2 linked regions of the Pelodiscus sinensis genome follow. The protein of the gene in region 1 purifies or fractionates together with the protein of each later gene. This does not show direct contact. Links are inferred from orthologs where the notes say so. Each region holds a gene or a part of one and is shown on either strand. Other genes may lie near its edges.

Region 1 (7,260 bases):
TTTGCAACTCTGTATGACTACATTACCCCCCCCTAGTTCGAACTAGGGGGGTAGTGTAGACATACCCTAAGGTACCACAAGACTCCTCCTCCGTTTTGCTGAAACTTACACAGCAAAAATAAATTATGAAATCAGTTATACCCAGCAGCACCCCAGCTGCTCTGCCCCAGGCGTCCTGATTCAGCCGCTGCTGGTCAGTTTCAGCAGCGGCTGAATCAGGACGCCTGGGGCAGAGCAGCTGGGGTGCTGCTGGATTGCTCCAGTAGCGCCGAGGAGCGGCGCTACTGGAGCAACCCAGCAGCACCCCAGCTGCTCTGCCCCAGGCGTCCCCAAGTCAGCTGCTGCTGAAACTGACCAGCGCTGACTACAGGAAGCCCGAGGCAGAGTTGCTCTGCCCCGGGCTTCCTGGAATCAGCTGCTGATCAGTTTCAGCAGCAGCTGACTTGGGGATGCTTGGGGTTCTTAAGTTGATTCTGTATGTAAGTCGGAACTGGCGGTCAGTTTCAGCAGCGGCTGAATCTGGACGCCAGTTCCGACTTACATACAGATTCAACTTAAGAACAAACCTACAGTTCCTATCTTGTACGTAACCCGGGGACTGCCTGTAGGACTTCAAGTGATCAGAGACATCAGTCCCAGCCTGATGGAGGAGACACCAGTCACAGCAACTTGGGCATGTCGAAAGTTAAATTGCTCTCTCTGCTGTTTTCTAGGAACCCAAGACAGATAGGGTTGCCAACACTCCAAGAATTACTCTTTAATTAAAGATTATGTAATGTGATGAAATCTCCAGGAGTACATCCAACCACAATTGGCAACCCTAAAAAGCAAATTATATTAGCCATTATCTTTACGGGGTTGGCTTTCATGCTTCTTTATAATACAGAAAAGAGGCCTGAAGACTTGGGTTTTTTAAATTTCAGAAATGTGCTTTTCTGGTTGACTTTTACATTACAAGTTAGAGTTTGTTCTGTTTTTCTTGAAAATTAATGATCACTGGATGAGACTGAGGCTCTATAGAAGAGAAGTTGCATCTGAAAGAGGCTTGTATTCAGGTTAATTTCTTTATAATAATATCCTTTTAATTCAGACACCTTATAATTTCTCATGCAAGACATTTTATTTCTGTTAAGGATTCAATATCCACTAAGAATGTAGGCCTTGATCATGCAAAAATGTATGCATACATTTCATTTCGTGCCTACTGTGAATAATCTCACAGAGTCCAGTGGAACTACTCACAGGCTATGTCTAAACTGCACTGTTAAATTGGAAAAAGAAACGCAATTTGCGGTATGCAAATTGTGTATCTTTTTCTGATTTACATTCGAAAGAGGCTCTTTTGAAATTTGTCTTTCTACTTGCGAAAGAAAGTGCTCTTTCAAGCTTTCCCTTATTCCTCATAGAACAAGGTTTACAGGGATGGCAAAAGAGCACATCCTTTCTTTCAAATTATTTTTTTTTTAAAACGGACACTTTCCTTGTACGCGGCGTTGTTTTTTGGGGATACTTCTAGTATCCTGAAAAAGCAATGGAGTCTAGACATAGCCACAGTGTGTAAAAGTTTAGTATATAATTAAGGCATCACAGGAATGGGTCATAAATGAGATCTACATTATGAATTTTTCCTAGTACAGTAAAACCTGTGTTATCCAGCCCTGTAGCAACCGTCCAGAAAGCTCTATAAACCAGCCTTAATAATATTAATATAAAGTCCAGTTTATAGTCCAGTTGCTAGGGGACCAGCAGGCTTCCTGCTTGGTTCTGCATGGCTCCTTGGAAGCAGACACATCCCTGCTGCTCCTAAGCAGAGGTACAGTCACAGGGGGTTTGGAGTGTAAGAGGAAGTACAGGGGTGGGAGCTGGGGCACAGGAGGGGTTTTGGGATGCTGGATTCAGGGGCACTTTGTTTAAGATAAAGAAAAAATTTCTTTTGAGCTCTCCCTTTTCCTTGATTGTCCTGTTGAAATGAATGAGGTGTGAATGGAGAATGAAAGGTGAGCACATCCAGCAGCAGTTGCAAGGGTCGAGAGGGCCTGGGAGCCAGATCAAGACAATACCTGTAAAGTGAGCTCATTAAGAAGACTGGACATACAGACAGCCTTGGGAGTCAAGCATCAAGTGCCCGCCCTTGAAAGACCTCTCTTTAAAGCATTACAAAGGCAAGGTGATGACTAACTGGCTGCATGAGAGGGATAAATATGAGGCATCTTGCAGAGGGACCCCGGATTATTCGTCTTGTCAACATGGGAGCATCGATCTGGATCGGCAGAAGCCCGCTCCACCCCCCCACATCTAACTCACTTGGCCAGTGCAGTTAACGGGAGCAACTCTTGGTAACAATAAGATGGAGTGTGCTTGTGTGTCTGTGTGTGTGAGTGCATAAGTGTAAGTATCATATGCATGTGAGAAAGTGTTGATTGATCTATGTATGTTCAATAAATGTGGCGTGTTGCCTTATCCCCCTGAAAAAGATCCCGTGTGCTTCTTTTAAGCACAACACTGGGAGTGACCAGACAGCCAACAGAGGCTGTCCCTGGGATGGACCTGGCTCCCGCATTAGGAAGGCAGGATAAGGGACCCTCTGAAGGTAGCTAGGCGGGCTGGGTTCTGGAGTGATGTAGTAGATAGGGCATTTGCTAGGGGAGTATAGGGTGGTGGGTTCAAGTCTCTTCTCCCCTAGGCAAGCTAAGTCCCAGCAACCAGACAGCTAACACAAGAGGGCAGTATAGACAGGCAACACAAATTTCTTGTGCAAGAAGCCCCTATGGTTAAAATGGCCATCAGAGCTTTTTTACGGAAGAGAGCATCTACACTGCCATGGATGCTCTTGCGCAAAAGCACATGGCAGTGTAGACGCTCTCTTGTGGAAGAGTTTTTGCACAAGAACTCTTCCACAAAAGAGTTCTTGTGCAAGAAGCTGCCAGTGTAGACGTAGCTCAAGTATGCTGCATTCTGGGCTGGCTCTGCCTGGTGGGAGAAAGGGGAGGAGGCTCTATATACTACCCCCTACCCCAGGCTGGAGGCATGTTAGGCATGTTACCATGAGTGCAGAGGATCTCTTATTCCTACTTCAAGTAGGAATAAGAGATCCTCCGGAATAGGGCTTTATTCCGGAGGATCGCACCGGTCTGGACGCTCTTTTCCGGCTTTTCCCCAAGCCGGAAAAAAAGTGGCGGCCATGTTTATTTAAATCCCATGGGGGATATTTAAATCCCCCGTGCATTTCCCTATTCCAAAGTTATAAATTAGCATGCCTATTCCAAAGAAGGGGCCAGTGTAGACACAGCCGCTGTGTCTAGACTGGCAAGTTTTTACGCAAAATCATCTGCTTTTGCGGAAAAACTTCCCAGCTGTCTACACTGGCCGTTTGAATTTCCACAAGAACACTGATGATCTCATGTAAGATCAACAGTGTTCTTGTGGAAATACTGTGCTGCTCCCGTTCGGGCAAAAGCCCTCTTGCGCAAATCATTTGCGAAAGAGGGCCAGTGTAAACAGCACAGTACTGTTTTCCGCAAAAAAGCCCCGATCGCGAAAATGGTGATTGGGGCTTTTTTGCAGAAAAGCGTGTCTAGATTGGCCACGCAAAATGCTTTCGCGGAAAAGCGTCCTGCCAATCTGGATGCGATTTTCCGAAAATGCTTTTAATGGAAAGCTTTTCCGTTAAAAGCATTTCCAGAAAATCATGCCAGTGTAGACGTAGCCTTACAGTTTACATTACAGGGCTGTGATAGCCCATTAACAGGGGCCTTGCAGAGACATGTGACCATGTCACCTGATGAGGGGATCCATCTTAGATACTGTAGATGACCCCAAGAGCAGAGAGGAAATTTAAGACTGAACACAAGGGATTGCTGCTTTTTGCAAAATCTATGTACTGGTGGAGAACAGGGATGTACTAGTGTAGGCGATTAACCAATACGCAAAAGCATATCAGTTAATGCTATAGACCATATGCATTTTCCTCCCCTCCCACATCAGCAATTTTTTTTTTAGCAGCAACCCAGCTCAGTCCTGGCTTGCAACAGGTCCAGCACCTCCCCCTGGTGCAGCTCTGCATGTAATGCGTATTAGGAACCAGCCAGGCTGGCACCGCACAGCCAGGCACCAGGGGGCGGAGGGCTCGAGGCAAAGGCTTTCTTTCTCACGCTCGCGAGGGCCAGCACCGCGCCTGCGCAGCTGTCGCCCCCCCCCTCCTCTGCCGCCGACGCAACCCGCGCCTGCCCAGTGCGCCTCTGTCGCCCGCGGCCCGACAGAACCGCGCCTGCGCAGTGATTCCCCCTCCCTCCGCCCCCTCGTAGCGGAAGTGGCTGGGGGGACGGGGCGCTCCAGTTCCGCCTCGGTGTTGTTCGGGCTGCACAAAATGGCGAAGATCGCCAAGACCCACGAAGGTGAGACACGGAGCCAGCCCCGCTCGCTCCCCCCCCACCCCCCCCGCTGCCTCAGCGCCTCGCGGGCCCGGGCCGGGCTGGCTGTCGTGGCGCGGCGGGCGGCGCAGGCCGCAGCGGGCGGGCGGGCCGGGCCTGTGTAATGGCGTCTCCGCCGGGGCCTCTCGGGCTGCCCTTGCGGCGGGGGGGGGGTCACACGGTGCTGGGGGGAGGGGCTGGGCCCCGCGGTTGCGCTTCCTGCTGGGAGGTGACGTGTGGCCCGCGGCGCCCCTGGAGTGGGAGCCCCGCTCCGCCGTGCGCAGCCGCCTCCCGGCCCGCTGGAGAGGCCGGCCAGGGGCGGTGACACATCCCGCCCGGCTCGCCTCGCCTTGCTGCCTGCTGCGGCCCGGGCAGGCTCGGGTCCGGGCGCGCTTTCCACGGCAACGTGTCGCGTCTGCCGGCGCATTGCAATTGACTCGCCGTCCACAGCAGGGGCTGGCCGTGGGTACCCCTGCTGGCAGCGCAGTCTCCCTGAGTCAGCTCGTCCTCGCTCAGCCTTCCTACCAGTGCTGTTTCTTTTGCAATAAGGGGGTTGATATCGGGTTGCTAGGGAATATTAGACAATTGTTGCTGACGTAGTGCCAGAGAGTAATGTTGTTTCTGAGGTACCCGTCGCCCTCTGCCCGCTTAAGGTTATACACCTGGGGTGGGGAACTTGAGACCCTGGGGCCAGAGGTGTCTCCTAGTTTGCCTGGCTCAGGGCCACCCCTCATCCTAGCATTGCAGAGCCTGCACTGGCTCGCCAACCCCCCACCCCCACATGGAGGGCTGGAGCACACATAATCGATTAGGCTGCCCCCACAAGGGGAATGTGGGAGTGTCTTTCTCTTCCATTAGCCACCTCAGTGAGGGGGTTTGTTTTTTTGTTTTTGCTTCTGTCTTGTGGGTAGCCCCCCAACTGGTTTTTCTGTGGCTCCCTGACCCCAAAAAAGTTCTCCACCCTGGCTATACTGTAATCTGTCATGGTCTGCAAAATTACTAGATGAGAGCCCAGTTCTACATGGGAGGAACACTGTTGACTTCATTGAGTCTGAGTAGGTATCAACAGATCTGTTCAGTCACAGTTTGCAGAATTGGGCCCTTAAACGCTTTAAGTGCTATGACAAATTATAAAAGGTGGGTTTTTGTTGGGGGGGGGGGTTATTTGTAGCCAGATTCATTACTTCATTTCCCCACTGAGTGTATGCAAAAAATGCCTTTGCAGAACAACATCTGTAATACTTCTGCTCTTGAAATAGCTTTATAACAAATTGAGACAACTGATAGAAATTATTTACATGTGTGGGGGACTACTAAGTACCCCTATTCTATCTGAATGCCTCATACATACGTTGACCATATGTTTTGATTTTTCCCGGGACTGTCGCAAATTAAAATGCTCTGTCCCAGTTCCCCATCAAGTAGTGAAATGTGCTGGAAAGCCCTGCCGTTCATTTCGCAGCTTGATGGGGACACCAGTGCAGCAGCCTCCTTCCCCAGGGAAGATGCAGGTACCAGGGGATTGTGGGGGTGAAGCAGAAGGGCAGACACAAAGTGGGGGAGGAATGGGCACCAGAAGAGAGAGGCGGGGCAGGTGGGTAGAGGGAGGTGTTAGGAGAGGGGATACGGAGGGGTAGCTTCAGATGATCAGAATGGGGCTAGAGGAGGAGTGGACATGGGGAAGAGAAGGGCTGGTGCAGGGGTGGGTACCCATAAGCAGGGCTTGCCGAGCAGCGCTGTCCAGCAATCTGTGCATACTCAGATCGCCCGAACCCTGCTCTTCTGGGTTGTAATCTACTTGCCACGGGCGAGTAGATTACATAGATTGTCGAGCCGGACGCTCTCTCGTGCAAGAAAGCTCTGATGGCCATTTTAGCCATGGGGGTTTCTTGCACAAAAAAACACTGTTGCCTGTCCACCCTGCCTTCTTGAGCAAGAGGTCTTAGTCCTTGTGGAGAGAGGAATAACTCTTGCACAAGAAGCCCTCTTCCAATGCTTTGCTGTACATTTACTTGGACAAGAACATGTGTGCAGTGTAGACGCTCCACAAATTTTTTGTGCATGAACAGCCATTCTTGTGCAAGAAGCCTGCAGTGTAGACACAGCCTGTGTGTTACCACTATGATATTTAGCAGGGCTTCCCTATGCTTGTGGCTCCAGCTGGGGGGTGGGTATAGGAAGGAAGTGCACAGATCCATCTTCCCCACACCCCAGGAGGGGATGGCCCAGAACACAGGGTGGGCTTTATTGGGTGCAGCCCCTAATTCTCCTTTTCTTAATCTAGCTCCGCTGCTGGGGTCAGGTGCATTCCTCCAGCCCAGCGGGGAGAGGCGTTTTTTTCCTAGTCATGGCAGCCCTGAGCCGCTGCACAGGGCTTATTTGGCAGCCGTGTGGCGGTGCAGCTTAGAGGGAACTCTACTTGTGGATTGTTCAAATCCTTGAGTGCCGTAGGTTTGTCAGCCTCAATTGTAAGAATAGATCAGACTTATCACTCTGCAGAAAATCTGAATATTCTGTGGTTTGTCAAGGCTGCAGTCTCTTTAGTATCTTCTCTGTGTTACCAGCTTTGATAACCCTAATTGACCAAAAATGGTAACAATGCAAATATACATGCCAGTCTTGCAAACATTCACATTCTCATAAGAACATAAGAATGGCCGTACTGGGTCAGACCAAAGGTCCATCTAGCCCAGTATCCTGTCTACCGACAGTGGCCAGCACCAGGTACCCCAGAGAGGGTTGACCGAAGACAATGATCAAGCGATTTGTCTCCTGCCATCCCTCTCCAGCCTCTGACAAACAGAGGCCAAGGACACCATTTTATCCCCTGGCTAATAGCCTTTTATGGACC
Region 2 (7,160 bases), on another chromosome or scaffold:
AGCCCTGCGGCCAGACTTACCTGCCAGGGAACTGGTTTAAAAAGGGGGGCTGGTTGAGAACAGACTAACTGGGGGTGAGGGGAGCAGTCCTGGGCCCCGGGGGGCTTCATTTCTTGGCGAAGGAAATCTTCATGGCGTTGCTCTGCGTGATCTTGAAGCCCTGGAGGGCGTCACGGGCAGCGCCAGCCTGCACCTCGTTATCGAACTCCACGAAGGCGATGTCGTGCCGGCCAGGCACCAGCCGCACCTCCTTGAAACCCGGGAACCTGGGGGGCAGGATCCGGCCATCAGAGGGACAGACCCCTGGATTGCTCTCGTACCCCCACCGTGCCCACAAGCCACACCTCCCCCCCAGGGGGTAGCCCCACACGGCACGCCCAGAGGGCCCAGGCCCCGCACTCACTGATTGAAGAGCATGGAGAGCATGAGCTCGTTGGTCTCCTCCGGCAGGCTGGTGAGGAAGAGGATGTGGTTGGGCGGGTTCTCCGAGAGCTGAGGGGGAGAGAGCAGAGTGAGGCCGGGAGCCCTGCAGGGCGGCGCCAGCCAGACGCCCACAGCAGGGGCAGTGCCCAAGGCAGCCCCCTCCTCACCCCCATTACCAGGGGAAAGTGCCCCCGATCTCCATGCACCAGCGCCCTCCGGGCCTCAGCACTCCCGGCTTCTCAGCAGGGGCAACTGGCTCGGAGATCATCCCACACGAGCCTCCGAGCTCTCTTCCACTGCCCACCGCAGCCTGCGTCTTGGAGGGGAACGGCCCAAGCCCCACGCCTGGAGGAAGCTCTGGTCCGACCGGGCGGCTCCCAAGCCGTGCTCTGTTGTACTCACCTGCTGGGTCGGCGGCATCTGGCCTGGCATCATCTGCTGAGGGGCCATTCCCCCAGGAGCCATACCCCCCGGAGTCATGCCAGGTGGGGGGATCATGCCCGGAGGGGGCATATATGGCGGCTGGCCTGCCATGTGGTGCATCATGCGAGGGCCCTGGTTCATTTGTGGCATCCCCTAGGAGAAAGAGAGAGGGAGGCCTGGCTTCACAGCAAGATCCTGGGTGCAGAGCTGCCCTGGAGGCTTTGAGAGCTGGCAGCCCTGGCACTCACAGCTGTCCGCAGAAGCCAAACACAGCCGGCAGCCTTTGCATCTGGGAACAGCCTGAGACCACACTGGCCGCACAGGGAAAGGCTCCCCCATGGCCCTAGCTTCGCCTGCCAACCAGCCACTGAGCCAGTCAGAGAAGCTGCTGGTGTTACTTACAGGGACAGCTCCTTGCACCGCAGCTGACACCGGCGCGGTCGTGCCAGGCATCTGCTTCTTGACCGGGGGCGTCTCCGGGCCTTTGGGCTTCCTCTTCTCCCGCTTGCGGTCCCGCTCCACATAGGTGCCTTTCATTTTCGATATGATGTCCGAGTCTGACTTGGCGTACTGGATCCTCTGGCGGGAGATACCATTCATCAGGAGGAGCACGGCCAACCGGCACCTCTGGCCACTCCAACAGCACCCTCCAGACTGGCTCCCTCCCCAGGAGGGGGGGCAGCACGCAGCACTTACCATGGGCTTGTCGTAGAAGGGGAACCCCTGCATAGACCTTAAGGCATTTGTGGCACTGCTGATTTCCTTGAAGATGACGAAGGCTTGGCCTCTCATCTTCAGACTCCGAGACACCAGGATATCCAGGATCTGGCCAAACTGCGAGAAGATGGCGTAGAGAGATTTCTTCAGCTCTAGGGGAGAGGCACACAGTTAGGCACACGGATCGGACAGACACCGCTCGACCGCCACGAGGAGCTGTGCACACAGCGGAGCTGGGGCAAAGCAAGCAACTCCGGTGCACACCTGCCACACCAAAGAGAGGGGGTCAGTCCTCCTCAGCCAGATGGCACCGGGGACGGCCAGGGATTAGAGCCCCTGCCTCCTCCGAAGTACGCGCCGTGGGTACCAACCCCTCAGCCCACCCACACGGCCAGCCCAGGCCAGGAACGCCCGCGGGAGTTGGCTCACCATCCTTCTTGATCTTCTCGTTGAGGTTGTTGATGTAGATGGTGTGATTGGGGCGGGTTTCCGGGACAGCCATCCTAAGTGCTTCGCAACCACGGGGTCTAAGGAGAAGAGACAGTCAACGGACACACCCGAGCCATGGCGATGTGGTTCCCCAGGCCACAGCAGCCCCATGATGGGCGGGGGTGGGGGGGGTTTGGCTCCAGGGGTCATGGCCCCCAGGAGATCCCCATGGTGCCCATCCAGTAGCTGGAGCAGTGGGATCCCAGCAGGTCAGAGCTTGCACAGGGGTGTGATGCGCGGGTAACGCCCCCCCCACCCCCCTGCGGAGGGGTGTGATGCGCGGGTAACGCCCCCCCCCACCCCCCTGCGGAGGGGTGTGATGCGCGGGTAACGCCCCCCCCACCCCCCTGCGGAGGGGTGTGATGCGCGGGTAACGCCCCCCCCACCCCCCTGCGGAGGGGTGTGATGCGCGGGTAACGCCCCCCACACACCCGCTCGCTCACTCCTGCCTGGCCCAGCCAGCACACACAGAGAGCCAGGGCCGCGTCTGGGGTCATGACCTCACCATGGGGGGGCGGGTCAGCAGGGCAGCCCCGCCCCCCACTGTACGACAGCCCCGCCCCCAGGGAGCTAGGGCGCCCACCCTGGGGGGAGGGGAGCCAGCACGTGGCTCTGCGCCCGGGAGAGACCCGGATGTAGAGACCACCCCCCCCCCGGGAACCCCACCCCCTCGGAAAACGCCCCCTCCCCCGCCAATACCGCCCCCTCCCCCGCCAATACCGGGCTGCCCAGGCCGGGCCCGGCCCCGGCTCCCGACCCCGCGGCCCGATGGCCCGGCCCCGCCGCGGCCGCTCACCGATGGAGCCCGATGGAGTCCGCAGGCCCAGGCCGCCCGCCGCCGCCACACGAGCCGCGCCGAGAGCGCCGTCCGCGTGGGCCAATCAGCACCAAGCAGCCTCGGCCTCACCAGCCTATCCAAAAGCGCGCCCTGCCAGCCCCGGCCAATGAAAGGACGTCGGCCCCGGGCCTGGGAGCCAATCCCGGCCGTGCCGCGCGCCTGGAAAGGGACCAATCCGCAGGGGGCGAGCGTGGCTCGCCCGCCTAAGCCGGGTGGTCGGCAAGGTAACTCCCGCCCCCTGAACGGCCATTGGCTGAGAGCAGCTGTCAGTAGCCGCTGTGGCTCTGCTGATTGGCGGCCTTTGGCGCGCGCCCCGGAAGGAAGGGGAGACACAAAGGAAGCGGGTGTCCAACCACGTGACTAGACTCGTCCGACCGCAGACCTGTCCCGCCATCGCCTTCTTGGGGGGGCACCTGACACCGCCCCCGGTGGCGACCCCTGACCCCTCCAAGCCACGCCCCCTCCCCCCGCCCGCCAACTGACCTCTGACCCCTGGCCTAGTCTGCGCCCTTTGACCTCCTGCTGCCCCCAGCCAGGGCGGGGATGGCCCATAGGGGTGGGGTGCCTGCCCCTCCCCCACCCACTCTAACCCCCCACCAGGGCCCTCCCCCCACCCCCCAGCCCGGCCCTGCCTTGCCCCCTCCCCCGCCGCCTCCCCCGCTGCCCCCCCCTGCTCAGTCCCTGCCCGTGTGCGGGGTCGACAAGGCCAAGTTCTTCAAGGCGGCCCTGGAGCGAGCGGCCCCCGCGCCCGGGGGCAGAGACGACGTCCGGGAGCTGCTGAGCCGCAGGACAGCCAGGTGGGGCCCCGCCCGGTCACCCCCCCGGGCTGGGTCCCGCCAGTCTCGCCTGCTGAGCCGCGCCGGGCCTGGGTGGGCGACCCGCTTGGTATTCCCAGCGCCAGGGGTGCCCGTGCTGCAGGGAGCGGGTCTAGGGCTCGGCAGAGGGGCACTCTCTCGGCAGCGCAAGGGGGCATTGTGGGGCAGGGAGCAGGGCCGGGGCTCAGCAGAGGGGCACTCTCTCGGCAGCGCAAGGGGGCATTGTGGGGCAGGGAGCAGGGCCGGGGCTCAGCAGAGGGGCACTCTCTCGGCAGCGCAAGGGGCCGCTGTGGGGCAGGGGAAGGGGGAGGCATCGCTCAGCTCTGACCCCAGTTCCCCAGGATGGCCATAGAGATTGGTGTGTTGCTGGAGGTTCCCGTAACTCTAATGAGACATAGACGTTCATGCCTGGTCTCTGCTCTTTGCTCCAGAGCCCGGGTGTGCTGAACTCCAGTGTCCTGGCCAGGGCCTAATTCGGATCATTCCATTTTGCTTCCCTAAATTCAGTTGGCCAGGCAAGAGGGTACAGGACCTTGGGCCACTTCCTGTCCCATAGTGGGGCGTGGCTGTGTGGCCGGCCGACAGTGGCCACATCCCACCCCAGAGACCGCCGCAAACCCTGCAGCAGATGAAGTCAGCACTCTGCTTAGTTCTCCCAAAAGGAGGAGACATGATCTTCACATTAGTCACGCGGAGGGGCCCACATTGGGGAAGAGGGGCTGCGGGGCAAACGGGCAGTAAGAGCTTGTTTGGGTCTTTCTTTCAGCTTTAGCAGGCATTTAAAGTGGCTTCTGTACAACAAGCCGGTGCCTTCCTTAATCCAAGAGGGACCTCAGTGAGTATTGCAACCACGGGCAAAGGAAGAGGGGAGGGGTTTGGGGTCCCAGTCCTATGGAGCCACAGCTTCCCCGTCTGGCATTTACTCCCTCCCCAAAAGTTGCCAAGAGCTGTTCTGTGAGCATGGCAGGGCGAGGAGCATAGGCCTGGCCAGTCTGAGCTGGCAGGGAGCTGGCTGCTGTTACACACCAGTTGTGTTACGTCAGCGCCTAGGACTCCCAGCCACGGACTAGGCCCCTGTTGGGCTGGGTCCTGGACAAACATCCTAAAAGACCATCCTTGCCCCAGAGCCGTGCAATCTCGGGCTAAGATAGAGCCAGTCCGTGGAGACAGACAGAGCACGGAGTGATGGGAGACCAGGAGACCATGCCAGTGTAGTGGCCAGGGGTCTCCGCACAGCGGCGGTCTAATCTCCGTGAGGTGTCTTGGAGGTGTCCCAGCAAAGGAGAATTTCCCAGAGCGCTGCTCAGGAGGAAGAGGAGGGAGCCGTGTGGATATTTACGGGGAGCTCCGCTCCAGCAGTGGGCGAGAGTTCAAAAGGCCGGGGAAGCATGACTCGCTGTGTCAGAGGGAAAAGGAGCATGAGGAGGTAGCACAAGGTCTGACGAGTTGATCTAAACGTAACGTCCCACTCGGGGGCAGTCCTTAGAACTGTCTGGCCTCTTCCACCTTGAGCAAGCATCCCTAGACAAAGCGGCTGCTCCCCCTAGCCCCCGCTTGGGGGGGCGAGTGGCAGCCTCCGTGAGTTGTACCTCGCACCTTGGAGAGGAGGAACGACGCCAGGAGCTGGTGTCTGTGGCCAGATGCTCCCATTAGATCATATCATAGCCCCAAGGGGAAGCGAGAAATGTGGGGAGGCCGGGAACGGGAGGGAGAGGAGGCCAAAGGACACGGTGACCCAGGGAAGCATTCCAGGGTGGACTGTGCTGCAGAGAATTACCTGTCTTTGAATCCAGCTCAGCCTGGGGACCGGGATCCCAGCAATGTCTCTTCTCCCTCCCCCTCCCCCCCCAGGTGCGGGCTGGTGGCACTGTGGATGGCAGGCTCCCTCCTCGGTCTGTCCCAGGACATCTCCCTGGAGAGGATCCTGCGGGTAGCGTTGGAGAGAGGCTACACCGCCCAAGGGGAAATGTTCTCAGGTCAGTCGTCACAATCGCCCACGGCAGGCGCTTTGCACTGGGCTGGGCGCTGGAGGGACTCTCCAAAGCCCGTTCCGGGCTGCGACTGGGTGAGGAAGTCCAGTCCCCAGAGGGCCCCGTCACCGGTATGTGAGAGAGGGCCCCAGGGAGCCATGGGAGCTCTGCTCTCGCCATGCTGAAATTCAGACGTTGCTGGGAGCCGGCCGCCTTCCCGGAAGGGCTGCTTTGGGCTCGGTGGAGGGAAGCTGGGGCCCGCGTAACAGCCTGTGCTGGACCGGAGGTCAGATCCGATGAGCTAATTGTCCTTTACTCTGAGCCCTGCCTTCTGCCTGGCTGCGGCTCCTGGCTCTGGCCCTCCAGTGAGGTTCGTTTGCTTGGAAACTTGCAAGCGCCTTGGTTGGGAAAATCCCCACGGCCGGGCTGCTAATTTCCCGGCCGAGGCAGAAGGCCCCTCTGGGAGCCGCGTCTGGCTAACACCGGCCTCGGGCAGAGATCGTGAGACTCTCCTACGCCCTCAGGGCTGGGGACTCCCCTTTGGCGCTTTTCGGGCCCTCACTGTCCAGCCTGCCTGGACACTTCTGCTTTCTTTGAAAGCACAAGATCCCTTGGAATCCCGGGGCTGCAGGAGGTGGGGCTTTGTCGGGAAAAACACCGGCTCTCCTTGGCAAGGCTCCCGCATGCAGGCCCCAGCCTGGATGAAGGCCCCAGTGCCGGGTAACAGTGTGGTACGTTCTCTCTGATTCTCGCAGGGACTGGTAGGATCAGCTGGCCCCAGCTCCTGTAGAACAGGGGCCACAGGCCTGCCCTGAATTTGCTCCTGGGTGAATGAAGCTGATCTTTCCAAACACCAGCCTGTCTGGGTCTAAACGGCTCCAGCGACAGACCCCACCGCAACCCTGCCAGTCGCAAATTCCCCTCCCCATTATAGATCTCTGCCCGCTTCCTGTCTGAATTGGTTTAGCTTCACCTCCCAGCCCGGGCTTGTGTTTGATCTTTGTCACCGGCCCTTGGAGATCAAATTGCCATTGCCCGTGTCAGATCACATCCCCCGCGGTGGGTTTCCCTTGCGAGCCGTTGGGGCGCTGCTTAGGGGAGCAGAAAGCCGGGGATCCTGAGCCAAGCTTGGGCCGTGCAGCTAGGGGTGGGCCCAGGGGTGGCCCTAGACTAGCTGCCAGCAGCTGGCGCCCTAGGCAACCCATGCAATCGGCACCTCCACCTCCAAACTCCTCAATGATCTGGCGCCACCATTTGGCGCCCCATTTAACTTGGCGCCCTAGGCGACCGCCTACTTCGCCTATATGGATGGGCCGCCCCTGGGTGGGCCCGAGGGCAGCTTGAATTCCTGTCCCTGCCTCTCCCAGCGGCTGACATGGCCCAGCTGGCCGAGGAGGTGTTCCCGTGCCGGGCAGAGCTGCTCTCAGGAGGCCTGGAGGGAGAGAACCAGGAAAGGATCCTTCGCCATCTGACTGCTGGCTGCCC

The links.
Region 2: the proteins of SF3B1 (region 1) and SNRPA fractionate together in Homo sapiens (co-fractionation; 4 studies listed by BioGRID and IntAct, with this or other methods). This does not show direct contact. The link is inferred for Pelodiscus sinensis from reciprocal best matches to the Homo sapiens genes SF3B1 and SNRPA.

Annotation. Positions count from the first base shown.
Region 1 is NC_134717.1:71,442,369-71,449,628, reverse strand, and holds the start of SF3B1 (splicing factor 3B subunit 1), read left to right. Parts: upstream 1-4,246; 5' UTR 4,247-4,366; coding exon 4,367-4,394; intron 4,395-7,260. UniProt on the Homo sapiens protein: Component of the 17S U2 SnRNP complex of the spliceosome, a large ribonucleoprotein complex that removes introns from transcribed pre-mRNAs.
Region 2 is NW_027465849.1:7,412,434-7,419,593, forward strand, and holds the start of SNRPA (U1 small nuclear ribonucleoprotein A), read right to left. Parts: upstream 3,008-7,160; 5' UTR 2,849-3,007; intron 2,797-2,848; exon of another isoform or gene 2,773-2,796; intron 2,091-2,772; 5' UTR 2,066-2,090; coding exon 1,993-2,065; intron 1,716-1,992; coding exon 1,543-1,715; intron 1,426-1,542; coding exon 1,249-1,425; intron 1,000-1,248; coding exon 826-999; intron 493-825; coding exon 404-492; intron 267-403; coding exon 107-266; 3' UTR 1-106. Other genes in the region: ACTMAP (actin maturation protease), read left to right, coding at 3,434-3,687, 4,472-4,540, 5,557-5,681. UniProt on the Homo sapiens protein: Component of the spliceosomal U1 snRNP, which is essential for recognition of the pre-mRNA 5' splice-site and the subsequent assembly of the spliceosome. U1 snRNP is the first snRNP to interact with pre-mRNA.